Notamacropus eugenii: one gene and its partners. The protein of the gene in region 3 purifies or fractionates together with the protein of the main gene of each other region. This does not show direct contact. Links are inferred from orthologs where the notes say so. Each region holds a gene or a part of one and is shown on either strand. Other genes may lie near its edges. The genes, in order: SERBP1, ZGPAT, OTUD5 and RUVBL1.

The links.
Region 1: the proteins of OTUD5 (region 3) and SERBP1 purify together in Homo sapiens (affinity purification with mass spectrometry, with the first as the bait; 3 studies listed by BioGRID). This does not show direct contact. The link is inferred for Notamacropus eugenii from reciprocal best matches to the Homo sapiens genes OTUD5 and SERBP1.
Region 2: the proteins of OTUD5 (region 3) and ZGPAT purify together in Homo sapiens (affinity purification with mass spectrometry; 3 studies listed by BioGRID, with this or other methods). This does not show direct contact. The link is inferred for Notamacropus eugenii from reciprocal best matches to the Homo sapiens genes OTUD5 and ZGPAT.
Region 4: the proteins of OTUD5 (region 3) and RUVBL1 purify together in Homo sapiens (affinity purification with mass spectrometry, with the first as the bait; 3 studies listed by BioGRID). This does not show direct contact. The link is inferred for Notamacropus eugenii from reciprocal best matches to the Homo sapiens genes OTUD5 and RUVBL1.

Annotation. Positions count from the first base shown.
Region 1 is NC_092873.1:527,951,525-527,959,597, forward strand, and holds the start of SERBP1 (SERPINE1 mRNA-binding protein 1), read right to left. Parts: upstream 3,090-8,073; 5' UTR 2,920-3,089; coding exon 2,556-2,919; intron 1,760-2,555; coding exon 1,609-1,759; intron 1,490-1,608; coding exon 1,346-1,489; intron 1,243-1,345; coding exon 1,147-1,242; intron 668-1,146; coding exon 548-667; intron 1-547. UniProt on the Homo sapiens protein: Ribosome-binding protein that promotes ribosome hibernation, a process during which ribosomes are stabilized in an inactive state and preserved from proteasomal degradation.
Region 2 is NC_092872.1:496,789,272-496,796,749, forward strand, and holds the start of ZGPAT (zinc finger CCCH-type with G patch domain-containing protein), read right to left. Parts: upstream 2,848-7,478; intron 2,571-2,847; 5' UTR 2,506-2,570; intron 2,141-2,505; 5' UTR 2,031-2,140; coding exon 1,453-2,030; intron 399-1,452; coding exon 265-398; intron 1-264. Other genes in the region: ARFRP1 (ADP-ribosylation factor-related protein 1), read left to right, coding at 2,926-3,137, 5,373-5,466, 6,133-6,220, 6,532-6,614, 7,472-7,478. UniProt on the Homo sapiens protein: Transcription repressor that specifically binds the 5'-GGAG[GA]A[GA]A-3' consensus sequence. Represses transcription by recruiting the chromatin multiprotein complex NuRD to target promoters.
Region 3 is NC_092879.1:102,138,438-102,146,100, forward strand, and holds the start of OTUD5 (OTU domain-containing protein 5), read right to left. Parts: upstream 3,046-7,663; 5' UTR 2,914-3,045; coding exon 2,329-2,913; intron 1-2,328. Other genes in the region: A-type voltage-gated potassium channel KCND1, read right to left, coding at 5,805-6,066, 6,376-6,641, 6,915-7,013, 7,124-7,370. UniProt on the Homo sapiens protein: Deubiquitinating enzyme that functions as a negative regulator of the innate immune system. Has peptidase activity towards 'Lys-48'- and 'Lys-63'-linked polyubiquitin chains. Can also cleave 'Lys-11'-linked ubiquitin chains (in vitro).
Region 4 is NC_092874.1:426,434,401-426,441,569, reverse strand, and holds the start of RUVBL1 (ruvB-like 1), read right to left. Parts: upstream 3,093-7,169; 5' UTR 2,943-3,092; coding exon 2,802-2,942; intron 822-2,801; coding exon 735-821; intron 1-734. UniProt on the Homo sapiens protein: Possesses single-stranded DNA-stimulated ATPase and ATP-dependent DNA helicase (3' to 5') activity; hexamerization is thought to be critical for ATP hydrolysis and adjacent subunits in the ring-like structure contribute to the ATPase activity.

The DNA of each region.
Region 1 (8,073 bases), on a different chromosome or scaffold from region 3:
AATATTAGTATATGCAAATAGAATCTTTCGTTCTGTCTTAAAACTAGACAGGAAAAAATGACTGTGCATGCTCATGTACTTTCAGGGCTTGCGGGCTGGAGAAGAAGAACTGTTACGAAACACTAGCTAGCTACCTGGCCTCTCAGAATTATGTTCCTGATCTAAAAGGAAATCTGTATCATTCAGACACAAGAATCCAGGGATTTACTGAACACATAAATGGGGTGAAACCCATTTCAGTGTCAAAGGGAAATATAGCGGACCCTTCGTCCCTCGTGGGGGCTGCATTAAAAGACTAAACAGGTGCCACGCGCTACCACAACTTCCCCCAATTCTACCCCGACACATCCATCAGAAAATGTCACCTAGGAGACTCACCAGATCTCCAATTAATTGGTCAACTTTTCCTCTTCTCTTCCTCATGATCACTATTCCACTTTCAATCAAAATGCCTTCTCTGATCAGACCCAACACCACCTCCATTCAGAGTCCCTGTGCTCGGGAGAGGCCGTGGCTTGGGATGGGGGAGAATAAGAGGATAACTCACTTATTTTCTGTGTCAGCCACTGGATGCTCTTCTCCCTCAGGTGTCTCCTCGGTCACAGTGGTTTGCTCCAAGTCACTGCAATTATAAGACATTGGTTTCTGAATGTATTGGGGGCCCCCTCTAAGGAGAGAAAGAGAGACAAGAAAGGCGCCTGGTTCTTTATCCGTTCCCCAGTTGTGCGGCCCCTCTCCCCAAATAAAAACATCAACTATCTCCCCCCACCCCAAAACATTCCCGAGCTTCCAGCAAGAGCATCAAAGCATTCATCCTCGGCAGCGAACAAGACTCAGATACTCCAGCTCAGCTGCTACGGGACCAGAACCGTCCGCGTGTTCGTAAATACCAGGAAAGGAAGGAAAGCTCGGATCATCGAGCATTCCACGACATCCCAATTCCGGATAAACCGTACCTTACTAAGGACAGGACCGACACCGCAAAGGTGCGAGTTCAAATCCTGCCCCATGCACCCGGCTTCCCCTGCGCCTGCCTCAGTTTCCTCCAGCGCCCAACGACCCCCCAGGGTTTCCCGAGGCCCCCCCCCCAGAGCGGCCGCGCGGAGGGGGGCCCCGAGGGGAGGGGGGCCCCGAGGGGACACTCACGTCAGCTCGTCCTTGACCGTGCCCCAGTTGTGCGAGCCGCCGCCGCCGCGCTTGTCCTCGTGCTTCAGCCCGCTGAAATGCGAATGGGAGAAAGAACTGCCCGCCTGAGTTAACACGGCAGTGGCGGGCCGCGGCCGCAGCGCAGCCCAGGGCTCCCGCAGCCCCCCGCAGCCCCCGCACCCACAGCGGCCCCACTTACGATCTGTCGCTCCCGCTGTGCCGGTCGAACTCTCTCTTCCCGCGGGCGTCGAAGCCGTCCCCTCTGCCCAGGCCGCGGCCCCGGCCTCCCCGGCCTCTGCCCCCGGGGCCGCCGCGCCCCCGCACGGGCCGCTCCAGCACGGGCCTGGGGGGCGAGAGCGGCAGCTTGGGGTCGGCCCGCGGGGTCTGCCCCGCTCCCAGCCGCGCCCCCCAGGGGCCGGCCGCCCCCCACCCACCCCACCCCGGCAGGCCCCGCGCACTCACTTGTCCACCGAGAACTCGGCGCCCTCGCCCTTGTCCTCCGCCGCCTTCTCGAAGCGCCGCTCGCGGGGCGGCCGCCGCTCCAGCCTCCGCTCCATCGGCTTGCCCTCGCCCGGCAGCTGCTGGTCCGGCCTGCGGCCGACGCGCCGGATCCCTGCGGGGCAGAGCGCGGAGGTGGGCGGCGGTAGGGAAGCCCGGCCGGGGGTTCCTGACGGGGACGGCCCAGGCGGGCAGAGCGGCCGGCCCCGCACACGGACGGACCGGCCCGGCTTAGGCCCGGCTAACGCGCCCATGCCAGCGCCGGACCCCAACAGCAGCCCCCGGAAAGCCACCCCCAGAGCCGCGCTCTAACAAGCTACAAACGTCCGGCGAGGCCCAGGGACCCGCCCCCTGCCGTCTACACAGGACCCGGGCGCCGTCTACACAGCAGGACGCCCCACAAGCACACGGGACCTGTGGATTCACGATGCCCGCGGGCCAGGAGCGCCCGGCACATCGCGGACACCGAGCCTCCCTGACGGGAGCGCCAAGGCTTTCACTCCGGGATTCGGGGGTGGCCCGCACGCGCCCCCCGTTCTGGGAGTAGGGGGGCCCGGGCGGAGCTGCAGGAAGGGTGGGCACGAGGGCGCCCGGGGCCAAACCCCCGAACGAACAAAGGCTCCCGCCCCCGACACGAACCCCGCAAGCCCCCCGAAGGCGCACCCCCTCCGTCCCCAAGGGGCCGGTTCCGAACCGACCCCGGATAAATGCCCACAGCTACCCCCGGCAAGGCCCGGAGGCCGGTTCGGTTCCGCTCTCCCCGGCGCGCTGGGCCCGGCCCGGCCCCCCGCCCCGCTCGCCACGTGCCGCGGCCTCAGTTTCCCGGCTGGGCCGCACGTGGCTCCCTGCTCCCTCCCCCTCCCGGGCCGCACGTGGGCCCCCCCTCCCCCCCGCGGTTCCCCGGCCCGCACCTTCTTTCTTGAGCGCGGCGGGCGGCGGCGGGGCCTCGTCCTTCTTGTCGGCCGCGGTGGCGGCGGCCGGGCCGGAGGCGGCGGCGCTGGGCGGCGCGGGCGGCGGCAGCGGGTTCTTGCGGTCCTTCTGCGACTCCTTGCGCAGCGGCTTCCCGGGCGCGCCCCCGCCGCCCGCGCCGGCCTGGGCCGCGGCCTGCGCCGCGCTCTTGGGCCCGGGCCCGCCGCCGCCCCCGCCGCCGCCGCCTTCCTTCTTCTTGTTCTCGGCCGCCTTCAGCACCTCGAAGGGGTCCGATTCGTCGTCAAATAGCTGGTCGAACCGGTTGGTGACGACGCAGCCGAAGCCTTCCTGCAGGTGGCCGGGCATGATGGGGCCCCGGCGGCGCGTTCCTCCACGGATTGCAGCGGGCCGCGCCGAGCCGACGGCGCCTGCTTCAGCTCGTCCCCACAAGATGGCCGGGCCGAGAGAGGGACCGCCTTCTCTTCCGGCGCCGCGCACACATCCGGGAGCCGCCGGCGCCGCGGGGCACGCCGGGAAGGGCAGGCGGCCGGCGCCGCTCCGCCCGAGCTTGCGCCAGCACGGACTACAACTCCCAGGGGGCGGCGCGCGCCGGCGGGCGCGAAGCGGCGCGGGGAGGGCGGAGCGCGGCGGGGAGGCGGGGGAGGAGACCCGAGCCCGAGCACCTGCCGCCTCCGGCCCCGCGCCCCCGCCCCCCTGGCGGGCGAGGACGGCCGCACGTGGCGAGCACGGTCAAGGTCACTCCCTCCGGCGTGGGGCCCGCCCACTCCTACTCCTCTTCTCCAGGCCGGGAGACTGAGGCCGCGCGAGGCAGCGCCGGTTTTCCGAGCGTCCCGCGGTGGGCAGGAGGCGGTGTGCATTTATTAGCCGCCCCTGCATGCCGAGAAGGCGGAGAGCGGCCTGCCCTCGGGGGGCTTCAGCCGGCCGGGCCCCCCGCCAGCCCCGCCGGGGGTGCCCCCCCCCCCCTCCCCGCTGTGACCGCCACGGCCAGGCTCCTCCTGCCCCCCTGCCGGGCTGGGTCCGCCCCCCAGCCCCCAAGACGCCCCCCGGAGCGTCCCCGCCTACAGGGGGCCTGGGGAGGGGCGCCTGCCACGCCCCCAACTCCTCCAAGCTCCCCCTGTGTGCGCCCCAAGCGTCGGGGTCTGCTAAGGGGGGGGGGTGCCGCGGCGGCTGGAGAGCCCCTAGGGTCCGCCTTGGGGCGAAGGGCTGGGCCAGGGGCAGCCGTGACCCTTCTGGGGGGGCCTGTCTTCGCTCACTCCTTCACTCACTCCTTCACTCACTCCTTCACTCACTCACTCCTTCACTCATTCATTCACTCACTCATTCACTCCTTCACTCACTCACTCATTCATTCACTCACTCCTTCACTCACTCCTTCACTCATTCATTCACTCACTCATTCACTCCTTCACTCACTCACTCATTCATTCACTCACTCCTTCACTCACTCCTTCACTCATTCATTCACTCACTCATTCACTCCTTCACTCACTCCTTCACTCACTCCTTCACTCACTCACTCCTTCACTCATTCATTCACTCACTCATTCACTCCTTCACTCACTCACTTCTTGACTCATTCATTCACTCACTCATTCACTCACTCATTCCTTCACTCACTCCTTCACTCACTCCTTCACTCATTCACTCACTCACTCCTTCACTCACTCCTTCACTCATTCATTCATTCACTCACTCCTTCACTCATTCATTCATTCACTCCTTCACTCATTCATTCGCTCACTCCTTCGCTCACTCCTTCACTCACTCCTTCACTCACTCCTTCACTCATTCACTCCTTCACTCACTCACTCCTTCACTCATTCATTCACTCACTCATTCACTCCTTCACTCACTCACTCATTCATTCACTCACTCCTTCACTCACTCCTTCACTCATTCATTCACTCACTCATTCACTCCTTCACTCACTCCTTCACTCACTCCTTCACTCACTCACTCCTTCACTCATTCATTCACTCACTCATTCACTCCTTCACTCACTTCTTGACTCATTCATTCACTCACTCATTCACTCACTCATTCCTTCACTCACTCCTTCACTCACTCCTTCACTCATTCACTCACTCACTCCTTCACTCACTCCTTCACTCATTCATTCATTCACTCACTCCTTCACTCATTCATTCACTCACTCCTTCACTCATTCATTCACTCACTCATTCACTCCTTCACTCACTCCTTCACTCATTCACTCCTTCACTCACTCCACTCATTCACTCACTCATTCATTCACTCATTCACTCCTTCACTCCTTCACTCATTCATTCACTCACTCACTCATTCACTCACTCATTCATTCACTCACTCATTCACTCATTCATTCACTCCTTCACTCATTCATTCACTCCTTCACTCATTCATTCACTCACTCATTCACTCCTTCACTCACTCACTCCTTCACTCACTCACTTCTTGACTCATTCATTCACTCACTCATTCACTCACTCATTCACTCACTCATTCCTTCACTCACTCCTTCACTCACTCCTTCACTCATTCACTCACTCACTCCTTCACTCACTCCTTCACTCATTCATTCATTCACTCACTCATTCACTCCTTCACTCACTCCTTCACTCACTCATTCACTCCTTCACTCATTCACTCCTTCACTCACTCACTTCTTGACTCATTCATTCACTCACTCATTCACTCACTCATTCACTCACTCATTCCTTCACTCACTCCTTCACTCACTCCTTCACTCATTCATTCATTCACTCATTCATTCACTCACTCCTTCACTCACTCCTTCACTCACTCCTTCACTCATTCATTCATTCACTCACTCATTCACTCCTTCACTCACTCCTTCACTCACTCATTCACTCCTTCACTCATTCACTCCTTCACTCACTCACTTCTTGACTCATTCATTCACTCACTCATTCACTCACTCATTCACTCACTCATTCCTTCACTCACTCCTTCACTCACTCCTTCACTCATTCATTCATTCACTCATTCATTCACTCACTCCTTCACTCACTCCTTCACTCATTCATTCACTCACTCATTCACTCCTTCACTCACTCCTTCACTCATTCACTCCTTCACTCACTCCACTCATTCACTCACTCATTCATTCACTCATTCACTCCTTCACTCCTTCACTCATTCATTCACTCACTCATTCATTCACTCACTCATTCACTCATTCATTCACTCCTTCACTCATTCATTCACTCACTCATTCACTCCTTCACTCACTCCTTCACTCCTTCACTCACTCCTTCACTCACTCATTCACTCCTTCACTCACTCCACTCATTCACTCACTCATTCATTCACTCATTCACTCCTTCACTCACTCCTTCACTCATTCATTCACTCCTTCACTCATTCATTCACTCCTTCACTCATTCATTCACTCACTCATTCACTCCTTCACTCACTCCTTCACTCCTTCACTCCTTCACTCACTCCTTCACTCACTCATTCACTCCTTCACTCACTCCACTCATTCACTCACTCACTCATTCCTTCACTCACTCACTCATTCACTCCTTCATGCACTCATTCACTCCTTCACTCACTCATTCACTCATTCATTCACTCCTTCACTCACTCACTCATTCATTCACTCACTCATTCACTCACTCACTCATTCCTTCACTCCTTCACTCACTCACTCACTCATTCACTCACTCACTCACTCATTCATTCATTCACTCTCCTGCTGTAGAGACAAGGCATTACCCTAGCCTTGTCATTTTCTAGCTTCCATGAGATCCAAGTATCACCACAGGCCAGGAGAGCAATCCGAGTTCTCCCAGAGAACGCTCCTCCTTGGCTAACCGACCAGTGTTTCTGTTATTTTGTCTTAGCCAGTCAGTTCACAAGCATTTATTAAAAACTTGCAAAGTTAAGTCTGGAGGATACCAAGAAAAAGGGAAAACCTCGTTGCCTGCCCTCCAGGAACTCACATTCTAGTTTAATAAGGAAGACTATGCAAATATATACAGCTGTATGTATACACAGGATCTTTGTGTAGAACATAGGGTGTTCTGTATAGCCATTTCAGGCTTGTCCCCAGCTCCCTTGTCCTTGTCATCTAGCTTTTCTGTGTGCTCTTTCCGCATTACATTGTAAGGTCCTGGAGAACAGGAGCTGACTCGGCTAAGATGCCCATCCTCAGGGCTTAGCACAGAGCTTTCACAAAGTAAGAGAGGCCAGGCAACTCTCAGACTACAAAATCAACAACGATCCAGCCCCCTGCCTCCAACTGTCCCCCAAATGACTGCCAATCTGCCCTCTTCTCTTTTCTCCCATCCAATCATCTCTGCTCCTCTAGATCCTACACCAACGGAAAAGAGACACAGATGGGGGGTACTTTCCCATCCTGGAAACAACTCACAGGAAAAGGCTCTGGGAATTTCCACACTCATTCCCAAAACCTAGAATCTATCCACTCCAAAAAGCACACCAGGTGTGGAGAAAAGGGGGTAGGTGGCACAGACAAGAGAAAAACAAATGCCCATCCTCAGGACATTTACAGTCTACTAGTGGGGGGGGGGGGGGTGTCAACAAATGTCTCTTAAACACCAACAGTGCCAGGGGAGACCCTTCCAACTTTAGAAAAGATCAAGTCTCTGCCTAATAATCAAGTATGCTACTGAACTGCTGTAAAAACCAGACCTGAGATTTTCCTAGGCAGAAGCTCTGTCTACTAATGAGATCATAGTGATAGCAAACATCCTTGTTATCTCATTTCATGTTCACATGAACCCCTACTAACTCTAGAAGTTGTAATTAACCCCACTGTCCCAGAGCTAGGAAGTGTGTGAGGCAGAATCGGAGCACTCATCATCTGGATCCAAGTCCAGTACTTTATTCACTTTGATCAAGCACCCAGCTAGTGCCAGTCAGAGGGTCGACTTGAACCAGGGTCTACTGGAATTGGAGGCTACACTGCTTTTCAGATCCGGTGAAGTCCCTTATTGACCGAGAGGAGCAGTCTTCCTGGAGGAGGTAAGACTGGCAAAGTCAAGGGAGGCCATGCCAGGCACAGAGGACAAGCTGAGAAAAGGCCCAGACTTGGAAAGGAACAAGGCTTATGTCAAGACCCAGAAAATGGACAATTTAACTAGAGTTAATGGGGGGCAAAGGTGACTCACACTGTGTAGTGGAAGGCTCTGTGTTTGTTGTGTATTTTTATTACATATTTATTTGTCTCCTCCATTAGGAAAAAAAGCACCTCTTGAGTAGAGGTAATTTCATTGTTGTCCTCAGATGCCCAGGGAAGCCTAGTTTGCCAGTAGGAGTCTAATGAATGCTTGTTGATTGATTGATGCTAAAGAAAGGCGTCTGAACTCTGCTCTGTTGGCAGTAGGGAGCCCAAAATAATTTTGGCCCAGAGGAGGCAGATGGCCAGATCCACAGGTAAGGAAAGAAATAAATCTGGCAGAAAAGCACACAGAATGTCTTGGAGGAAAAGAGAGTGAATGATAAACTTCAGTGGCCCCCATTGCCTCCAGG
Region 2 (7,478 bases), on a different chromosome or scaffold from region 3:
CTTTTCAATAACTGTTTCCATGAATATTGTCACAGAAGAAGTACAGTGAAATGAATAGAGGAAGAAAGGAAACAAAGACCATTCCATTTCAGTACCTGATATATGATGAAAATAAGACATCAAATTTTAACAACTAACTGATTTTATCTGAATCTCAAAAAAAAATCTGATATCAGATCTAGCTTTCAAAATCACTGGCATGAGGCAATCATTTCAAGACACTGATTAAGGAAACCCTCAGTCTTCCCTGTCTTAATAGCTTACCTGTGATCCTCGCTGGATACCAAATTCCATCATCGTACTTAGCTAGACAGGCTGAGCCTGTGTGCAGGGCACTCAGGTCTGGCTCCTGAAAGGGACGAAGCTCATCCACAGCAACTACTTGCCCATGGGAGAACCTGCAGAGATTAGGTTAAGCACATCAAATATTCCCACCCATAAATGGCACTAACATCAGGTACCAAGAAGAAGCAAATCCAGTACCTGTCAGAACTTGTACTCAAATGCAGAGAATCAGATAGATGCCAAAAAAGAGGTAACCCATTCAAAAATAATGGAGAGTTTGAGAGCTGTTTTATTTTTACTATTTTTGGTGGGATAGGTTTTTGCAGTAAACTCTCAACTCTCTGGGAGTGGATTACTAGCTCAGTGGTTTCTCCACACTTCCTTTATGATAACCAGTTAGGTCCCACGTTCCTAATGTACAGTTAAAGTAAGAGCTCGCTCAGGTTATTCCACACAAAATCAAGCGTGCAAGTCTCTGATTATATATTTTTATCATATTTTTCACACCACTGCTCATTTAGTTGGGCTGAATTCTTTTTCAACAAAAAAGGATATGTAAAATCAAGGAAGAAGAGTCCCACCAGTCAGCTTAAGGCCAACATAGAAATATGCCTCTCCATAAACCTTGCAAACAAGAACAAAACCAAAACCAAATAATACCCTTCAGCTTTCCCTATTCCACCCAGTCCCTGTCCCTCCCCAAGACACATGGGAGTAAAGCCCACCACTGCATCTCACTGGACACATAGGGTACTCACTGTGGGTGAGTAGCTACAGCATTTTGCAAGGTTGCTTCACACATGTGCGATACAGGAGAACTCAAAGCACTCAAAGAAGTATAGTCCTATTTAACAGAGGAGTAAACCAAGGAGTGGAGAAGGGGAGATGTGCCTAGGATCAAACTATGGTCCAAGAACCCGCCTCCCAAAATGCACCCCCTCCACCAAAAAAACTCCAAACCCTAATTTCTAAACACTGTCATGCCCTATATTGTACTAATGAGGGCAAGAAAACAATACTGAGAATGCCTCATGCACCTCTTGGCAGCATGAGAAATGACTAAAAACTAAACCAATCACTCCCAACCATTTCAAGCTGAGGCTGTTGTCCTCAGTTGACTGAGTGTCTTCTGGTACCTGTAAAGACAGAATGGCATGAGAGAATTACCTGCAGTTCTCTTTGAATCGGCATTTTCCCTCCAGGAAGAAGGGACAGGGCTTTAGGGACTTATGAGTCGGGTAGAGATAGAGCACACGAACCCCTGCTGTGCCATCCTCTGACTGCTCTGTCCCCACAATCATGGCATTATGGTATTCCAGAGTGCCCCAGGAACTGTAGTAGGGAGCATTCACCTTCATCCCACTCAACTCTCCCTCTTCCTCCTCTTCATGCCCAGATCTGTCAGGCTCCGTTTCTCCTCTTTCAGGAGAGGTTGTAGTTTCAGCACCTTGAGTCTCAGAATCTGTTACTTCACGAATGGCATTCTGGAAAGCCAAATACTCAGCTTCATCCCTTACTGCGCTCTCAATTAGGCCAAGGCTTGGGTCCAGTGTGGCCAGGAGCTTACTCTTCTTGATGGACACAAGACTGGACTCAGTTAGCTCGATGAGCTGCTTTAAGTCAGCCTGCAGCTGAAGCAAGTCAGCTTTTTCAGTAGGGTCCAAGCCGGTCCCCAGGGCCAGCTCCACTTGCTGCAGTTGGACATGGTAGGTCTGGATGGAAGCTTCCACACTATTTTCATCCATCCTGCAGAGGCAGTCTGTAGCTCTTCTGATGATCTACTTGAGTATCCCTACATCCTACAAAACGCTGGCTAGGAGGCAGCTGTTCCACAAGCACCTTTAGGAATCACGATCTGCAGAGATGAGGAATAAGGCCATTTCAAACAGATGCTTAATCACAACAGAAGTCCTGGCGTTTGGGCCCCATCCCCCCTCAGGCTAGGGGAGGCATCATCACTCCTGTCAAAGGACAGCTACGCCAGAGCAAGGCCACTCGCGAGGGCAGGAACCATGCAGTCCTTTAAAATTAAGGTTCCTAAACTTAAAGCTGTCATGTAGTCGGACAGGTCTGAAGGGAAGATGGGATGTCAAAGTTAGTGGGAGGAGGAAGAGACAAAGGCCATGGGGAAGAAGGAAGAGGGACTGGATGAGGCCGTGGGGAGGGTGGAAGAGGGAAGGGAGGAGAGGAGAGCCGGTGGGGGGCGGAGAAATTATTTACCTTGTACAAATTGTGTACTGACTTAGCTGCCTAGATCTTATTTCCCACCAGTACAACGTAAGCTCCTAAGGGCAGAGAAGAGAACAAGGTGGAGGAGAGGGGAAGACTATAACGAAGAAGACGGGAAGGGGGAGGAGGAAGGGGCGGCGGTGGGAGCAGGGTGGTGGGGGAGGGGAGATGAGGCCTAGCCCTTGGGCGTCCTCCGCAGAGACCTCGCCCACAGACCCTCGGTGGAGGAATCGTTTCTTCATCTCTAGTCCTGCTCCCGAGCCCCGTCCTCCCTGCCCAGGTTTTTTCGGGCCCTATTCCCTCAGTAAGCTCAGTGTCTCTTCAGCCTCTCACCCCTCAGGCCTGGGAAGCAGCCGCCGCCGCCACCTCCACGGCCGCCATGAAACCGCCGCTCGGGCAAGACAACCATAGATGCCGTACTTGTTCTGGCTAGAGAGGCCCACAACAGCTCCTCGATTCCCTCACTGGGTCGCCACGAACCCACCGGAACTCCCTCCCCAGCTTCTGCCGTCCACCGGAAGTGCAAGCGTCATTGGAGCTGACGACCCTACCGCCCGCGGACTTCCGGTGTCTGCTGGGATTCGTAGTTTCCAAAAGGCCTCTCCTTTCTCCAAGAGTTCGGTGTGGACTCTATGTCCCAGAAGTCATAGCGCCAGGGTCAGCGAGAGAGGTCGACTCTTGCTGGCGGTAGAGGTAGTGGCCCGAGAGGGTCTCGTTCGGCCCTAGTGGCTGTAGTAGCCGTCGTTCCGGCTCCGTCTCTGAGGCGCTAGGCCGCAGGTAGGAGCCCCGCAGCCCGTTCCCTGTTGCTTCCTCACGGGCTCCACGTTCGTTGTGGAAGTTCCCGAGCCGCTGACTTAGGAGTTTGAGGCCGGACCAGAGAGTTCCCTCTGTGGGGAGGGCCCTTTGGCCGGAGCCGGCCTCTCCCTGGAGGCGAAGAGGAAGCGCATGGGTCGCTCTGAAACTCAGGCACGTCCCCTCCCTCCTGGCCCAGGCCGCGTCTGGGCCACAGGACCCAGTTTCCTAGGTGACGCTCCGGGCCCCCTTCCACTACTAGACTACACCGCCCCCTCCTCCCACTTCCGAGTCGTGGGTTCATCTTGCCCTCCCACTCCCCTTCTGAACCTGTGTTCCTGCACTGCCCTCTCGCTCCCCATTTTGGAGACCGTGGCGTTACGTGCCCCTGCTTTCGAGAGCCTTGCTCCATCTGAGCTAATAGGAATACATCGCTCTCAGCCACTCTTTCTTTTCCTTGCCCAAACCCCCACCCCTACCCAAGAAAAAAAGGAAAGAAAAATAAAGAAAGTGAAAAAAAGTATGTTTCTAATGTTCACTCAGTTCCTTAGTTCTCTCTTTCTGGAGAGGGATGGCATTTTTCATCACAAATCCTTTGAAAATGTCTTGATTCATTGTATTGATCAGAGTAGCTGAGTCTTTCACAGTTGATCATTATTACTGTAGAGCTACTGTTTATATTTGTTGTTCAGACTTTTCAGCTGTGTCTGGCCCTTCTTGTCCTCATTTGAGGTTCTTGTTAAAGATACCGAAGTGGTTTGCCATTTCCTTCTCCACCTCATTTTACAGATAAAGAAACTGAGGAGAACAGGGTCAGGTTGACATGTCTAGGGTTGCAGAGCTAGTAAATGTCTAGGGCTGGATTTGAACTCTGATCTTCCTGACTCCAGGCCCAGCCTTCTATCCACTGCCTAGTAACTGCCTCAATATTGTGTTACTGTGTACATTGTTCTCCTGGTTCTGTTCACTTTGCATCACTTCATATAAGTCTTCCCACGTTTTTCTGAAGTCATCCCCCTCCATTCCATCACAATCCTACCACAGCTTATTCAGCCATTCCAAGACCTTTTTCTGAGCCATAAAGTCCTATTCTTATCTCCCACCCCACTTTCGTTTATGAGCTAACATCAGAACTAGTGAGTCCCTGTGTGGGTGTCCAGATCAGTTGGTCTGCCTACTGATAGAACCCCTCTTGTCTTACTGCTGAGCCAGTAGGTCTGTCCTATCCTAGTGTTCCAAACCATTATTTGAAAACTAATACTCTTCTCCTTATCTGTTAGTTAGTTCAAGTCAGTAGTAAAGGAGATGGTTCCCTCAGTGAAAGATTAGTCTTGTTTTTGTTGGCTGTGGTGGAGGTGTTGGTTTGACCCATGGAGCACAAGTTATGGGAATTTATGAGGCCCCTAATTTTTTCCCCATAACCTTTAAAATAACCCTTAAAAGCCCAGAATCTCTGGGTTATAGTGTTTCTCAAGAGAGAAAGGGACAAGTTTCTGTCTAGGTGAATGATAGTGGCCCCCATAAAAGAGTTGCTGTGCTATGCCACTTTGGTCCTTGGATATTTTCAGCTGTAGGCCCTTATGTTGAGAGAAGTTAAAAGGCCCATTTAGCCTGCTGAGAAGCACTCAGTCTAGCTCACTGTATAAAGAGAAAGCAGAAACTCACCCTGTTACATGCCAGTGTCTTTGGGGAAACTTTTCCAGTCACATGGAAAGAGCAGTGGGATAAGCCTAGTAGTATTATGACATTGTTATCACTGATCTTCCCAAAAGCTTAAAGTTTTTCAGTCAGAACCTAATCTTTACAAAATTTCTAGGGAATAAATGAGAAGTCTGTGGTATAATACTCATTTTGCCAATGAGGAAACAGGTTGATTTTTCTCAAGATTACACAGCAAAAGGAGCCTAGAATAGGATCCTGGACCTTCTGGCTCAATTGTTTTATCTGTTGTTGTTACGATCATTACTGTTGTTATATTGAAGGAAGCAAGGAAGATGCTGTAAGGAACAGAGTTCCCCAGCAGTATTCCCCAGTAATTCCTGGTTTCTTGTACTTTACAGGAGCAGGATGTATACACTCTTATCAGGGCTTTATAAGTACATGTTCCGGAGAGATGAATACTGTATCCTAATCTTGGGGCTGGACAATGCGGGAAAGACGGTAGGTAGTTTCTTTTCTGGTTACCTCAGTTCCTTTTTGTAAAATCTATTTTGCTACTTTTTTTTTTCATTCAGTAAAATTTCAACTGATTATGTGATAGCTCAGCTGTAAGTCTGAGAAAAGGTTATTGTAAGTGATTGTAAGAAAGGAGCATTTTAGAAAGGGGAAGGAGTGATCTTTGGATCTGTTTTTCTGAGACAGTTATGATAATTGGAGTGTACTGGTTAAGTGTTTAATAGCTGGGTCTCAAGTGAAAAAAGTTCATACAACACAATTTTATATTTAATCTGCATTCTTAACATTTCCTTTATCATTTTCTTAAGCCCAGGCAATCAGTAAGACAATAAATCACACTTTTATTATAGCATTTCTGAGGTGTAAATACACTGAAAATTTAAATGTCATTTTTCAAGAGTTGGTAGGAGCTAGCTATGGCATATTCCTGGATTGTAGAAACTAACAGATTTTTGGAGCTAAAAATGAGCTCAGCTGTTCTAATCTAGCCCTTTCTGAAATCATGAATCCCATCAACAGAATCCCTAATAAGCATCATTTCACCTCCACTTGAAGATTTCCAGTGACAGAGAACTCTTATCCCTTGAGGCAGCCCATTCCATTTTGGACAATTTTAAACTTACCTTCTTGTTTGTTTTTCCATCTACCTAGACTTTCCTGGAGCAAACGAAAACCCGATTTAACAGAAACTACAAAGGGATGAGTTTATCCAAAATCACCACTACAGTGGGCCTGAATAGTAAGTGGATCTTTTGGGGTTACAGAATCAGGAAAGCAAATAGATATAGTGTGACAATATCTCATGATGACCTAGGTGAGATAGCCAGGGAATAACAGATTATTCATTGATCTTCTTATGTGGTAAAGGAAAGAAACTGAATTTCTGAGAGCTGAATACCTTCCTTATCTCAGTGATTGCTACTCTGTGGAGTAGTGGGGAGTTATTTTGTTTTACTTTCAGATGAGAGATTGGGGAAAATGAAGTTTGTGTGACTGGGATCTTGTATTTTACCTTTAATTTCTCTTTTCTTCCTTCTTCTTTCCTTGAAGTTGGTACTATTGATGTGGGCAAAGCTCGCCTTATGTTCTGGGATTTAGGAGGACAAGAGGAATTGCAGTCTCTCTGGGATAAGGTAAGAAAGGAACTTTCTTTTTTTCCAGGCCTGTCCTTATGCTTAAGTTCCATAAAATTTTTAGAAACTCTATGGTCCTGAGGATAGTCCCATCACAAACCAGATACTGAGCTAGGTAAAGATAGCTCTTTGGTAATTTTACTGTTCAAAACCTCACAGTATGAATATTTTGACTTCTTATAGGAAGCAGCTTTACAAATAACTCCTAGAAATCTATCTGCTCAAACATACTATTTTTTTTTTGTTCATGCAGTTAGAAGCTGGAGTTTCCAGATGCCAGTTTCCAATCTACACTTAGTAATAGCTGTTTTCTGCACATCAGTGTCCTGCAAAAAAAAAAAAAATCTGTTCTACTTAGAATAATGGTTATTCCCCTAAAAGAGAAGCTTTTGCCTGGGCTGATAAAAAGACCATTTTTTTGGCAGCTTCAACCAACACTGGATTGCAAAGGAAAGATTCAATTAAGATTTCTCATTATTTTGTTAGCCAAGACTAGGGTATTTGGCCCATTTCAAAGCATTGAGCATCTTGGACTTCTGTGTCCCAACACTTCTACCAGTTGGCACATAGGGAGTAGAATAAAACAATATATGAGAAGCCCTTTTGAATTATTTTCTTTTAAGCTAGGAAAAGCATTTCCAACGTGGAGTTTTGCCCATTGTCCACTCTCTTATATCATGAATTATCTCCACTTGAGATAAGCGAAACTGACAATCACAGTAATTTAGAAAATCCTGTTTATATCGGGCCCTGTGCCGGCAGTTTGCCACCTCTCTCCTTCTCTCTTTGATCTTTGCAATGTGCTCTGAATATACTGAAGCTGCTCCTGGATGTTAACCTTTCTGCTTTCATTCTAGTACTATG
Region 3 (7,663 bases):
GCTGTGTGTGGGTGCTGGGCATGTGGTATGACAGCCACAGACAAGTGTCTTGGCCCTGCATTGCTGCTTAGCAAAGAGGAGAGCCATGTAGGCCCTGGGCACAGCAGTCCAAGTGGGCAAGCCAACTTCTTTCCCCCGTGGGGGTACTTTTGGTGAAGTGAGAGGGTAGGGGGCACAGACATGTACACTGGCCGGTGTGAAGCATCGCCCTCCCCCTACACCCTGCTGACACCTGGTATCTGGCACAAGAAAAAAAAAAGTCCAGTGTCCCCAGAAGTCGTTGGTTGGGCTCTGGGCCAGGCCTGGACGTGGGCGAAGGGCACCAAGAGCAGTTAGCTTCAGGGTACTTGCCCCCCCCCCCCCTTTCCTTTGCCCACAGTGGCCTTGCAGGCAGTGAAGGTGAGAAGCCCACTCGGGAGGCCGGAAGCAGTCCTTGCTAGGTGACCAGAACTTGCTCAGGGAGGGAGAATGGAACAGAGAATCCAAGTTGGGGAGGGGTGCTTCTCCAACAAGGCAAATGGTTCCTCTTAGTCCCTGGAGCTCCTCTCCTGCCTTTCTTCTTACATCCTTGTACCCCTCTGCCACCCCACACCCAAAGGCCAGGCAGCAAACTTGGGCCCAGTCCTGACCCAGGACAAAAGCCCCCACAGGGAAGGAGCAAGCAGTTACAAAGCACCTACTAAGTACCAAGCGCTCTGGAGACCAGAGGATCTTCAGAATCATTCTAGGAGGTAGATATTATTATCATCCCCATTTTACAGAGAAACTGAGACGGACACAAGTCCAGCACAAAAGAAGTCTTGCCTGAATCATCTGATGCTGGATTCTAGTTTTTTGGGTCTTGTGCTCTGTGCACTGGACCAGTTACAACTAAAAGGGGGCCCCAACTCCTCCGTTCCCCCAAAGAAGTAGCTCAGGAAAGAAAAGTTTCCTCAAATTCAGCTGACAAGTAGAAATCCTGGGCCTCAGGGCACTCCCAGTGGAGCCTCTCTCTTCTTAAACACCTTAGTCCCCCCCTCCCCCTTCTCAGTCCCCCAACAGAAAGGAGATGCACCAGCTCTCTCCCAAGATATCTTGGCCAGCTGTGCTGAAGGTGCGCATTTTAGGGTTGCCCCAACTTGCTGGTCAGCAGGTCCTTGGGGCCCCCCATGGCCTTCTCCAGCATGCAAATGTTCACCTGAAGGCCTGGCCATCCATATGCATGGGAGTCAGGCTTCCTTAAGTCTGGGTTCTTGGCAGGAGAGACTCAAAGCAGCTCCCGGACTATGGAAGGTTTCTCCAGGAGTACTAGCTAAGAATTCTGGAGACTTTAAAGAGCTGGGCAAGGCCACAGAGGCACTAACAGGACTCGGAGCCAGGTCACCCTGACATCTGCTTCATCCTCATCTCTCAGACAAGGAGTGCACTGGAAATGGAAGAACAGAGTTCTGCCAGCCAGTCCTGTCCTCAGGAGCCTCCAAAATAGTGGAGAAGATACAGGACAGCACCTATGCCCATCGCTGAGGTCCAGAAGGACTACAGAGACCCAGTAGCCTCCAGCCACCATTCTCCCCTTTCCCTGCTTGGCCTGAAGAATCATGGGAAGAGAAGGGGAACCAGGAAGGAATAGGGGAAGGTAGGTAGGCAGGAAAAGGTCCTGGAGAAAGAGGAAGAAAAGAGGAGCACTTTTGGGGAGAAAAATTACAAAAGAAAGCAGAAACAGGGCTCCATGGGGGAACGAGAAGGAAAGATGGGGTAAGAAAAGCGAGGGTGGGGGGATCAGAAATAGAATAAAAGCAGGGGGGTCTCCAGGGATTGGGGGGCATGCCCCAAGGAGTAAGAAAATCAAGGGGGGGGCAAAGGAAAGAGGCAAGAAAAGCAGCAACGGGGGGCTGGGGATCAAGAAAATGGGGTGAGGGCAGGATAGGGCAAAGGGTGAAAAAAGCTGGGGGGGGAACCAAGAATGAATAAGAGCAGGGGGGCAAGGACGGAATCAGAAAAGCCAGGAGACTCTAGAATGGGGGGGTAAGGGATTAAAAATCAGAGGGCTGGGGCCTAGGAAAGAAAGGGTAAAATTCGAAAAGCGGGGGGAAAGGGGAGCGCAGGGAAGTAACAAGGAATCCGAAAAGGCCCGAGGTGGGGGGGGGGGGGCAGGCATGGCGTAAGAAGGGAGCAGAGGTGGCCCGAGAAGAAAAGATGGAGCGAGCCAAGACCCGGAAGCAGGACCGAGACGGTGGGGGGGGGCGGGGGGGGGGGCGCTTGGGCCTCATAAACTCCCCACCGGATCGAACAAAGAGGAGAGGGCCGGGCAAACGATCGAAGACGCGGGGGCCCCTCCCCGGGCCATACCTGCTCCACCGTGGCCGGGTCCATAGCCTCCACCCGGGCCGCCGCCGTGTCGTACTCGTCCTCGCTGTTGTAGCCCGCGCCGCCTTCGTCCCGCTCGGGGCTGCCCCCCGCGCCCGAGCCCACGCCGCCGACGCCACCGCCCGGAGGCCCGCCGGGGTTGCCGCAGGGGCCTGCCTGCTGCCGCCGCCTCTTGCTGTGGCCCGGGCCCGAGCAGCAGCCGCCGCCGGGGCCGCCGCCGGGGCCGCCCACGGCGCCCAGGCCCAGCCCCAGGCCGAGAGCGTCGGCGGCCCCGGCTGAGGCCGGCCCCCCGGGGCCCGGGGGCGGCGGCGAGGCCTGCGGCCGGGAAGCCGCGGAGCCCGCGCCCGAGGCCCATCGCGCCAGCGGCGGCGGCGAGGCACGCGAGCGGCCGCCCGAAGACGGCCCGGCGCCCGGAACGCCCTCGCCACCGCCCGGGCCGCCGGGTCCACCGCCGCCCGGGCCGCCGGGCCCGCCGCCAGGCTCGCCGTCCGGGCCGGAGTCGGCGTCCGAGCCGGCGGGCGGCGGCCCGGGCGGCGGCGGCGGCTTCTTCTTGGGGAGGATGGTCATGGCGCCGGCGGGCGCACGCTCGGCCTGGGCCGGAGCTTGCGGCTCAGCGGCTCCGGCTCCGACGCCCCCTCAGGGCCGCCGGGGCCGGGCCGGAGCCAGGCCGGGCCGGGGGCCGGGGGCTGGGGAGCCGACGGGCCCCGCGGAGCTGTAGCGGCGAACGGGCCCCCTCCTCTTCCTGGCCGCCGCTGCCTGGGCCGGGAGCGGAAGGAACTGGAGGCGGCGGCGGGAAAGGCAGGGCACGGAAGGGAAGGAAAGGAAAGGAAGGGCAAGGCCAGGCGAGCGGAGGCCGGAAAAGAGCCGGCGGACCCCGGGAAACTGAAGGGAGAAGGGGCGGAGCGAGGGCCCTAGGACCCGGATGAGGAGGGGCGGGGCCCGGCGCAGGCCCCGGATGGGGAGGGGGCAGAGGCGAGGCGAGGCGAGCCCAAGGGGAGGGGGCTACCCGGGGAGCGAACCCTGGCAAGGGTAAGGCCCTGTCCGCTGCGTGCCGCGAGCTGAGCGCGCGAGTCGGGGACCGACTGGTCGGCACAAGAGGCTAAGGAGGGGGGCGGGGCGCGAGCCCCGCAACCGCCGCTGGCTTTTCCTCTTCCTCTCACTCCCGACTCCCGGGGCTGCAGGCCCCGCCCCGCTCCACCAGGTGACTGACAAAAACAAACACCCCGACGCGGCGGGCCAGCCCCCGCGGGGCGCGCAGACGCACTTGACCGCGGAGGAGAGCCTGGCCCCCTCCCTTTCCACTCTGCCCCGCCCCCGTCGAGGATGGCGGGCAGTGTACCCGGAGGGGTGAGCTAAGTCCGGACCTCGTGTTCCCGTCTCGGAGAGCGGCGGAGGGCACGAAGGCCTTTGCGACTTCCCCGGCCGAGGGCCTGAGAGAAGGCGCAGTGGGAGGAAAGAGCAATCGCTCCACGGGCGCCTGCTCCTCCTCGTTTGGCGACTTGCCACAGCGCGTCTCCTACGAGCCCCCGCGCCGTCACTTCCGCCCCATGCCGCCGCCCTTCCCCTCCTGTCAATCACCCCAGCCCTCCTCCCCTTTCCCCCCTCCCCGCCAATCTCCCCCGCCGAGACGCGCGGGCCGGGGCATTCGGCTCTCCTAACCCTCTCATTGCTCAACCTTGGCTGTCAGTCAAACGAGAAACTCGCCCCGCCTCCGCCCGTTCCCCTTCCTCCATCCCATGCGCGCACAGCCATCTTTGGCATTCCGCGGTCCATGCTGCCGCCTACTGGTAGCCGAGGTCTCTGTCCTGCGACCTGGCCCGTCCTCACCCCCGCCCCACCTCGCACTCCGGGGACTGCGGGCTTTTCTCTTGGTCCATATCCCCTCCCCACCCGAAATGCTGCCTCGGCCACCATGATGTTAATACCCGCTCCCTTCAGGTCGGACTGGGCGCCTACCCCATCTTGGGTGCCAGTCAGCCTTGACTTTGCTTTGGTGGCCAGAACTTCCCTCCGCGTCCCCCTTGAAAAGCTCAGGCACCTCTGGGGGTTCACAAAACCACCCTCATTTCCTCGCCGAACTTTCTACAGTTGGCTCCGCCTCCCAGACCTCTCTCTGGGTGGATCAGCAAGGACATTTCGGTTCGTGCTTTCCCACCATCCCCTGGGGCAGGCTAGGTAGCCCACGCTGGAATGGCAGGGGAAGCAGAGATCAGACCCATCTCCCAGATAACCAAGTTGAGACCCAGATTGGGAAAGAAGGTGGTTGGTGGAACCCAACTCAAGTCCTTTCTGATGTCACCTCCAGTTCAGCACCCCGTATTGCTCCAACCCCCACCCCCCCATCCCCCACTTGTGGGCCAAGGTCTCCTTTGGTTTGTTGTGTGGGTTTTTATTGGTTTAAACTGCATCCAGTAGGGCACTGGCTTCAAGCATGGGGCAGGTGGGAAAACCTGAGACGTGCCAGGAGAGAGGCAAGCAGGTAGGCAGGCAGAGAAGCCCAGCTGATGGAGGGGATCTAGAAGGGAAACTGAGGCAGGCTCTAAGAGCTCTGCAGCTACTGAGGAGAGACCCTAAAGCACCTCCTCCTCCTGGCCTGCTGCCCTTAGTTATCTCACAAGAATTCAGCTGGATCTCAAGGGCATCAAACAGCTAGGCTGAGAGCTATTGCTTCCTATGTCATTGGGGGGGTCACCAGAAGGTCAGATGTTTGGGAGCTGAGCCCCTGCAGGTGCCTTTCTGCTCTTCTCTCCATACTGAGGATGAGATGAGGAGGTAGGGGGAGACTCCCCCTCACTGTCCCACTCAGTCACCTGTCCTCCAGATGGAGAAGGGAAATCTCTCTGGACATTCACCAAGGACACAGCAGTCTGGTAACATTGCCCAGGGTGAAGCTCTGAGGAGACAGCTGAGGAGGAGGGGCAGGAGACAGAGACCACATCTCTCAGTCAGCCTCTGCTAGCCTACATGGTGATATCCTCCAGATGTGCTAAGCAAGCACACTTGCCCCTCCCAAGATACCTGGGTCCACCTGCCACCATTTCAGCAGGTGAAAGATCCCAGAGACAAAGGATGGAGAACATATAGGCCAAGACCTGAATCCACCCTGACAACCAGGTTCCTTTCCTGGTCTGTGACAGGTCCCAAGAATAGGACTCACCCTCTGGCTTCCCAGCTACTGATGTCCATGTCTCTAGAGAACAGAGAAGAGGGGACACGAGCGGAGCTTTGGTTCTCCATTCCTCCCCCCCCCACACACACACATACATACTCCATTGCACTACAAGATTGTCCTGTTCAGGGGCAGTGGAGATCACAGGGGCTGAGATGCCGCCCCCCCCCCCAGTGTGCCCCTCATCTTCCTCACACTTTGCCCCATCCAAATATGGCTTTGAAAACAAAACAGGGAGACACCCAAGGTGGGGAACCAATGCCCCAAAGGAGGGGTGAAGCCCCCTCAATCACAGGGAGGAGATTTTGACAGTGTTGTGAGGAATATCAGAAGGGCCCAGGCTGGAGTTTTGGACAGCCCCCCTGTTACTGCTGCTGCCCCCAGAGGGTCTTCCAGGCCCCTTCCCACTGTCACTGGCAGGCGAATGTGGTTGGCTCTCATCTGGGGTGTTTGCTGGGGGGGTGGGGATGCTGATGATGGCTGCCACCAGGTCCTGACTGTCACAATTCAGAGTCAGGCTGTCATGAGTCTTGGCATTGAGGCTGGCTCGGCTGGTGGATGGAAGCAGAAAGGGAGAGAGGGTCTTGGGGTAGGATCCAAGATCCACCACCTTGGGTGAGGCAGTCTAACCCATAAGCCTCAATTTCCTTATCCATAAAATGGGAGACTGAATGATAACTGAGATTCCTTCCAGGGTAAATGTCTTGAGTCCCTGGGCTGTGAAAGGGCGCGCCATTGCACGCTGCCCTCTAAAATCTTATCTTAGTGGGATTGCATTCAGCTTTATCTGCACCTGTGGCACCTAGGGCCCCCTACCCAAATCTTCGCTTCCTGGCCCCAAGTAATGGAGGCCACATTACCTCTGGGGTCCTGGGCTATGGTGCCCAGCGAGAGTGTCCAGCTCCTGCATACTGCCTCGGCTGACAGAGGCAGTGGAGTTGGCCAAGCGAATGGCCCGGCGCTGCTTGGTCCGTCGGGGGCAGCAGGAAGAGATCAGACTGCTAGTCCGAGCGCTGGTTCCCATGACAGCCTGGGAAGACACAGAGGTGCTGCGGCTGGTGCGGCCACCCAGGGAAATGACTCCCAGTGCTTCACTGAAGGTAGACTCATCTGTGAACTCATGTGACTGGGGGGAGAGAAGAGACGTAGAGAGAGAGAGAGAGAGAGAGAGAGAGAGAGAGAGAGAGAGAGAGAGAGAGAGAGAGAGGAGAGTTAGCATCAGGGGGTATTTAGAGCCTTAGGGGAACAAGCAATGGCAGGCAGGACCCAAAGGAGGAGGGAGCACAGACAGGGAGGCCAAGAGCCTGAGCAGGGCACAAAGAAAGGACTCAGGATTCCAGAGATGGCTTTTGGGCAATGGGAAGGGGTCAGCAGGGAGACAGAGAGAGAAGGATCTCACTGTGGTCTTCTCCAGACAGTGCAAAAGATGATGGTGCTGCTGTTCAAAAGCTGAGCGGCTTCGTGTGCTCAGTGCTGGCTGTTCGGCCCCATCTTGGTCCTAGGGCGCACAGGCAGAGCATCAGGTGAGCCACCTCAGCAGCAAAGCCCTATTCCTTGCCCCCTCCCCTGGCCAGCTTTCAGAGCCCTGTGCCCAGGGCGGCACCCCACCTCCAGGCCCCTGCTGCGCTTGTACTGAAGGAAGGCTGTCGTGGTCCCACTCTTGGCCATCCGGATTCTTGCCAGCCGCACCTTCTGCTGTGCCCGGCGCTTGTCGGCACGCTGGTTCTGATGGTAGATTCGGCTGAAGTTGGAGACAATGACAGGCACCGGCAGGGCGATGACCAGCACCCCGCTGAGCGAGCAGATGGAGCCAAAGATTTTTCCCGCAATTGTGCTGGGCACCATGTCCCCATACCTGCGGGCACACACCCAATGCTGGATTTGGGCTCCCTTCAGCCCTAATCCCAAACCTGAATGTGTGCAGGAACAGATGGGGGGAGGGGGGGCTGTGGAATGGAGATGGGAGACCCAGTGCCCTCTCGAGGTGGGGATTGGAGTGGAAAAGGCCATTTGTGATATCTAGGTGCAAGGCAGTCATTTTACAGAGTGGGAAGTACCAAAGGCAGGACCTTTGGTCTCTGAGACTCATTATAACAAGGGGTGTGGATGCCATGTTGTCTACCCCTAAGTTCCTATGTGACTCAAAGA
Region 4 (7,169 bases), on a different chromosome or scaffold from region 3:
ACACTATGTGTAAGACAAGAATATGTCTTTCGAGGAGATCCTGGAACTGCCACCTGAGCAGTTAGTGCAGCCCTTGGAGCTGAGTGGGCCAGGATTCCCAGTTACCGCAGAGCACCCAAAGTCTCTGTTCTCCACGTCTGGTGAAAAGCAATGTCTAATGTTTAGAGGATTTCAGATGACATAACCAGCCCTCATAACCAGCTCACCCTCTTCTGAACTCAATTCCACATTACGACCAATCGTGTAAAGTTAATAATTATGTGATTTTAAAAACTGCTCTTTTCTTGCGTGTCGCTCTTCTTCCCAGGTTTGAAGGTCCTTGCTGGGACGGCCCCTGTCACCAACCGAAGCTCATTCCCATGGCACTCCCAGAGCCAAGCATGCAGAGAGTTCTCAATCAGTACTCACTGAATTAATCTCATACCCTTCAAATGGGCAATAATAAGTTCTCAGAAGCCACAGAGCAAAAAGTATTTTTCTGCAAGGAGAAGGAATAAGATATAGAAGACAAGTTTCAGACAATGAACCTCCTCCGAGGACCTCAATCCCTCTTCCCTGGAAGTATGCCAGGAGAGTCTGAGTGTTAAGATACCCAACTATGTGACTTCACAGTGGTCCTTTTAAAGAAACCTAATCAACCTGGGAAGACAAAGCATAGTTAAGACATAAGTTCAGTTTGGTTTAGACATTGAGACCACTCTCTGGATAGATTAGAAAAATGAGAAAAAAGATACCTTGCCAGTTCCAGGAGGTCCTGCCAACAAAACAGCTCTCCCAGCCATTTTCTTGCTTTTGATTAATTCCACTATCACACCACATGCCTAGACACCACCAAAGGAAAAGAAATAATAACATCAATATGCAAACATTTCATAAGAAGTTCCGGTTGTAGCTCAAGAAGAAGAGATACACAGTAATTTTATCAGACAATCTATCATGCAGCAATCTTAACTAGTGGTTGAATTTCAACAAGGTAATAATCGATGTTCACTATAATAAATAACATGGCTCTGAAGTCCTCTTCATGTGACATTCCTCACTGGGACACTAAGACCATCCTGGGATCCTGAAGACCTGACAGCTCGCAGGATCATCAGCTTGAGAGGCAGATGAACCTGAAGAAGGGATGCCCTGAATCACCTCACTTTCTGTTGGGCCCAGAGAAGTTAGGGGATTTGCTGATGGGGTCACAAAGGCAGTTACTGGTTGAGGTGGGAATCAGCATGGTCCTCCAGTCCAAATCTAGCCCTTCTCCCACTATGCCTCACTGCTCTGTCCTTGCTGCTGCTGTGTGGGTGTCCTTTGTTCTCAAAGAAGACCATGACATTGGGAATACGCCATGACATGCAAGTGAACTGGATTACAGTGAGGGAGGGGCTGTGCAGAGTCACCAGCCTCACTTGGCCAGAGCCATCTGGACCCAGCAGCCAGATACTGATCAGGACAACTGGCCCAGGAGGCCGTGGGACATCTTGGTCTTTAACAAGTCTCTGTTTGACTAAAGCAGCACCCATACTCTGTCCTACCCAAGCAGCAAAGGGCTACTAGAACACATCCAGTGACAGAAGGACTAATGTTTATACTGCAAAGTCCAGACTAAGTTCAGAAAGACTCATTACCAGAAGGAACAAGGTCATAAAATGGGTTGGGGGGTAGGAGGGAAATGGGGTACAACAACTCAAGGAGACTGTCTCCTCATTAAGGCATGGAGAAGTCAGAATACGACCTCGTGAAAGGAGTGTCCCATGTGGATGAAACCACAGCTCGGCTGAAGCCCAGGGTATGATAAACAATAACAGTTTACAGCGTTTTCATGGTTAGAAACCACGTAATACCTCCTCCTTTCAACACGACTTATTAAAGCACCTACTCCAAGGTAGATACAATGACAGGCACTGGACACAAGGGCAAGAAATTCATTAGTCTCAACCCACAGGTTTTACAATCTCATTCAGCTGGAGAACTCCTTCAAGGGAGGTCACCCATTGAAGATGAGGCAACAGGGATGAATGAAGCCCTGTACTCAAGGGCATGGGGCTGCTTTATCTTCGATGGAGCAGCCCATGTATGGAATATCCGAGAACCCTCTAGCAGTCAGCCTGTTTGGTTAACTGCTGCCAAATCCATGGACCTTCTGTTGGAGGTCCATCCACGCTTTCCTTAGCTGAGGGTAGTAAGGGGTGGGGCAGGCAGTGGAGGCAGGAACCCTGAGGTCCAGGTCTGCTTTGGGCCAGTTCTCTGGGGGGCTCAGTTTTCTCATCTGGAAAAGGCTCGCGTTCCCCTTGCCTACAATACCTTTTTAAAGACCAATTTATTTGTGAAAATTACGATTCATCTCCCTACCCTAGCTGGCCTATCTAAGCTGTGCTCGCTATTCGGCACTCAGGGCGACACCACGAGTTCAGGGTGGTCTGGGGGATCGAATCCACTGCCAAGTGTGTGGCACGGTGCCTGGCACGGGGAGCTCGCCTTCGGTAAAGCTTAGCGCTGGTCGTCATCCCTCGGCGGGTCTGTTCGTGCCCTGCAGGCAGCTGGTGGAGCACACCACGAGCCTGAAAGGCCCAAGTTCACATCCTGCTTCAGACGCTTACTAGCCAGCCCGACGACGGCGCGCCAGTCCCTTCACCCCTGCCAGCCTCAGTTTCCTCGGCTGTAAAATGGGGCCAATAACGGCCCCGGCCTATCCTCCCCCGGGTGGGGGTGAGGCCGTCCGTGCCGCTGCCCCCTGCCCTCTCCAGCCTCCTCTCCCCGTCGGCGCCCCGCCCGCAGGCCCGACGCCCGACGCCCGGCGCGGCCCCTACCTCGCGGGCGTTCTCCTGCCCCACCAGCCCCGAGGCCGCCTGCTTGGCCAGGCCGCTCTCGTCCAGCCCCAGCCCCTTCACGTGGCTGTGCGAGGCGATGCGCTGCGTCTTCGTGGTGCTTTTCACTTCCTCGATCTTCATCTTGCCGCTGAGGACGGGGCCGGCGGGGCTGCGGCGGCTGCGGGGGAGCGGGCCGGGAGGCGGGCGAGCGGCGACGGCGGCGGCCGAGCTCCGAGCCCCGGGCCCTCTCCGCTACCACGCGGCCGTTACCAGGGCGTCCGGCCAGCGCCCGCCCCCCGCCGCCGCCCATTGGGCGCACCGGCGGCGGCGCCGCTGCCCATTGGGCGGCGTCCGCGTCCGGCATCCGCGCCCAAGAGGGCCCGCCCATCCACTTCCGTCTGTGTTACTAAGGTAGCTTTCCCCCACTGCGACTGCCGGGAATGTGCGCTTCCTGGCGGCAGCCCGGCCTGGGGGTGTGGCCTCTGGGCCGCACGTGGACCAGAGCCTGGCTCTGTGTGCGTACAGAGGTGCGTTCGGGCTTTAGCCGCCGAGAACCGATACTGGGGAGTGTGGGAAGGGGAGCAGGCGCAGCTCCGGGGAGCTTGGAAGGCATCCTGGCGGCGAAGGGGAGGGGGCCAGCATTCCCGGCCTGGAGGCGGGAGATGGCCGAGGCGGGACCGTGCGCAGAGCCTGCGGCGCTGCTGGCCTCAAGCAGGACCCGCTGGGGGTTTTACAAACCAATGGGCAGGCGGGCATCGGGTGGCCTGGGTACAGAGAGGAGGGCGGCGACAGGTTTGGTCAGGAGGGAGACAAGGAGAGAAAGAGACCCCCGGCTTGAATGGAGCGTTCTGGCTGAGCATCGGGGACGAGCCGGGGCATTGCGTGGCGTGGCCCGGAATATTTCTCTTTTCTCTGGTTTTTTCTGCACAGCCTAGGCTTCGATGAGGCGGACACAGAGCCAGAAAGAGCTACCCTGAGTCCTGCTTCAGGCACTTAAAAGCTGTGTGACCCTGCGCAAGTCCCTTAACCCCAACTGCCTCATCCTGGGTCATCTCCAGTCATCCTGATGACTATCTGGTCATTGGATCCAGACGGCTCTGGAGGAGAAGTCAGGCTGGTGACCTGCACAGCCCTGCCTCACTCAAAACAAAGTCAGGTGCCAGTCACGTCATAGTTTCTCTGCCAGCTTGGTCTTCTTCATAAACAAAGGAGGAACCCAGCCTCATGCCTGGAATGCCCTCCCTCTTCTCTGCTACTGACTGGTTTCCTTCATGACTTGACTCAAGTGGCAGCCTCTACATAAAGCATCTTCTGATCCTCTGACTCCTAGTGCGCTCCCATAATGGCCTTGTAATACGTGTGTATATGTGTATATATTATTACTGTTGTTGAGTCATAACTTACATACTCATAAGAATACACTTATTTTCCCACCTCTACTCTCCTTCTGCCCTTGGGTTTTTCCATAATGTCTGGCACATAGTAAATACTTGTTGATTGATGGATTGATAGACCCTCAGTTTCTGTAAAATAAGGCTAATAATACCTGAAGGATTTTCTTTAGGCTCAAAAGAAGTATGTCTACATGCATATACATATATATGTATACATGTGTATGTATATATAATATATAGTGTATGTGTTGTGAGTTCAGTTGTGTCTGATTCTTCATGACTCTATTTAGGGTTTTCTTGGCAGAGATATCAGAGTGGTTTGCCATTTCCTTCCCCAGCTCACTTTACACATGAGCCCTCCACATGCCCCAGACAATCTGGCCTCAATCTACCTTTCTGTGCTTATTTCACACTACTGTTCTACCCACTAGACCTTTCAGCCACACAGGACCACTAGCTGCCCCCAATTGCGTCTTTGTGTTTCTAAGGTACCATTTTGTTGTTCATTTTCAGTCACGTCCTATTCTTTATGACTCCGTTTGGGGTTTTTTGGCAAAGATAACTAGAGTGACTTGCCATTTCCTTTTCCAGTTGATTTGACAAATGAAAAAGCAGGCAAACAAGGTTAAGTGATTTGCCCAGGGTCACCAGAGCTAATGTCTGAGGCTGGATTTGAACTCACAAAGATGAGTCTTCCTGACTCCAAGCCCAGTGTTCTATCAATTCTATCCCAGAATCTCTACTTTAAACAGTTAATTATAGCTACCCAAGCTAATTAGAACTACCCAAGCAGACGAATGGAGGGGTATCAGTGGCAATTGTCAATCCATATACTTCCTGAAAGAGCACTAAGTAGGAAATTTTGTTCCTGGGGAAAGAGGGAGCCAGAGTCAGAAAGCAAAGCTGGGGATGTTCCCTGTAAGTGGGAGAGAGGCTGATCACTGCTTGGGAGGAGAGGAAGGGACAGGATTATGGGGGCAAGCATGTACCAGGACAGCTGCCATCACTGAGGAGATGACACCAAGGTGGGGAACTCCCTTGAAGAGTAGCCACTGGTGGGGAGGATGCAACCCCGAAATAGTACCATTAGCACTCTCAATTTTGGCACCCTAGGGTAAAACTCTTGCTGCTGCACCCCAATGATGACAGTTTTTAGGTTTCACGGTGCGATGGATACTCCTCCCCTCCCCTTCCCACTGCTTCCTGTTCAGGTCCATCTTGTCATCCAGCGATTAGTAGGTGTGCTCCCATTACACTGTGGCCTTCAAAACACCATCACTGTCATTCACATCTCTTCCTCCTGATCCATCTCCCTGTGTTCTGGATTCTCTGTTTCCTCCAGACTGAAGTTTTAATCGTATGCAGTAAAACAACCACCACACTGGAGACCACGTATACCTCATGTCTGCCAATCCAAAAGGGCTGAGCAAACAATCATGCTGGCTGGAACTCCTCCAGGGATACCTCTTAATGAATGAGGGTCTGCCTGAGACATGAGCCTGTGGGTGAATATACCTACACTTGGGTTTTAAACTTTTTGGGAGGTTTGATAAAATTGTAGGCCATGGGCTCTGAAACTGAGGTTTGTGAACTTTATTTGTAAAAAATATTTTGATGATTATCTTTCAATATAATTTGTTTCCTATGTAATCCTATGTATTTTATGCATCAAAAAAATTCTCAAATGAGGTGATATATGTAAAGTGCTCTACAAACCTTAAAACACAATATACTTGCTAGCTATAATATTATTATTAGTCTCCAGGTTTCAACAGACTGCCAAAGGGACCCATGGCACAAACAAGGTTAAGAACCCTTGCTTTAGGGGCAAGACAAGCTAATTTAAGAAAGCATTGAGAATTCACGTTGGTCTCATACCTTGTTGCTAGACTGAACTGAAGGGGCCTTTGAGTCTTTGTTTTCCTTTTTCAAAAGGAAGATGCTAGGAGCGTAATCCAATATTTGGCAGTCCTGATATAAACAGAAAAATAATCCCTGCCATTCTGAATAGTTCAGTCCTCAGTCTTAATCAGTTCATTTCTGAGGGTTTCCTCTGCCCTTCTCAGCCTGCTCCCTGCTGACATTATGTGATAGCTGAGGTGGGGGCTGGAGGATGGGCAGTTGTTTGTCCTAGACTAAACGTTTACTATAGAAAGGCATTGCCCAGGTTCACATACATCTTCAGATTTCAATTGTACGTGCTTGCTGGTGTCTACAGTTGTCAAGTGACATATTATTAGAATAAGGGAATGTGTATGAATGCCCTTCACCTTTTGACCTTCTCCCCCAAACCTAACTTCCTGCTTCTCTTAGCATGATGACCCTAGGCTAATGTTTCACTGTTTAAAAAAAAAATTCAGAAGTAACTGCCCCTCTGCTCAGTTTGCAATGATGGTACAGCAAACATTAAAATTCCATTTGTTTTTATAAGACTCAGACTCAAAAGTCTTTTGATCCATCACTCTTTGACATGGAAGTGACCCTGAGTTCGTGAAGGCTCTGCCCATAGATTGTAAAGTCTTGAAGATTGCAGCCCTGACAAGTCAGGAAGGCAAGGCTTCAGTCTCCACCTCTGATCAATACTAGCTGTGTGACCTAAGGCAATTGGACTAGATGACCTCTAAGTCCCTTCCAGTCCTAAATCTATGACTGCTTTTGATTTCCCAGGACTGCACTGGTTAAGTATGGAGAGGCTCATCACCAGAAGGAGAGCTACCAGGTGATGAAATTTTTAGTCAAGGACACTCAGGAAACAAGGAAAAATGTAAAATGGCCTTTGGGTTCAACTTTGTGAAGTGAAAAAAAAGGGGACGGTGAATGCTAAGAATCACAAAGTATTTCACTATCTATAAGCATGGACTTGACTATTGATACTCTAGCTTTGCCCAGACCCCCATGCTGATATTCTCCAGCTGTTTTCATACCATGATCCTTTGTTCTGGACACCATGTCTAACCTGGACTTCTACCTGCTG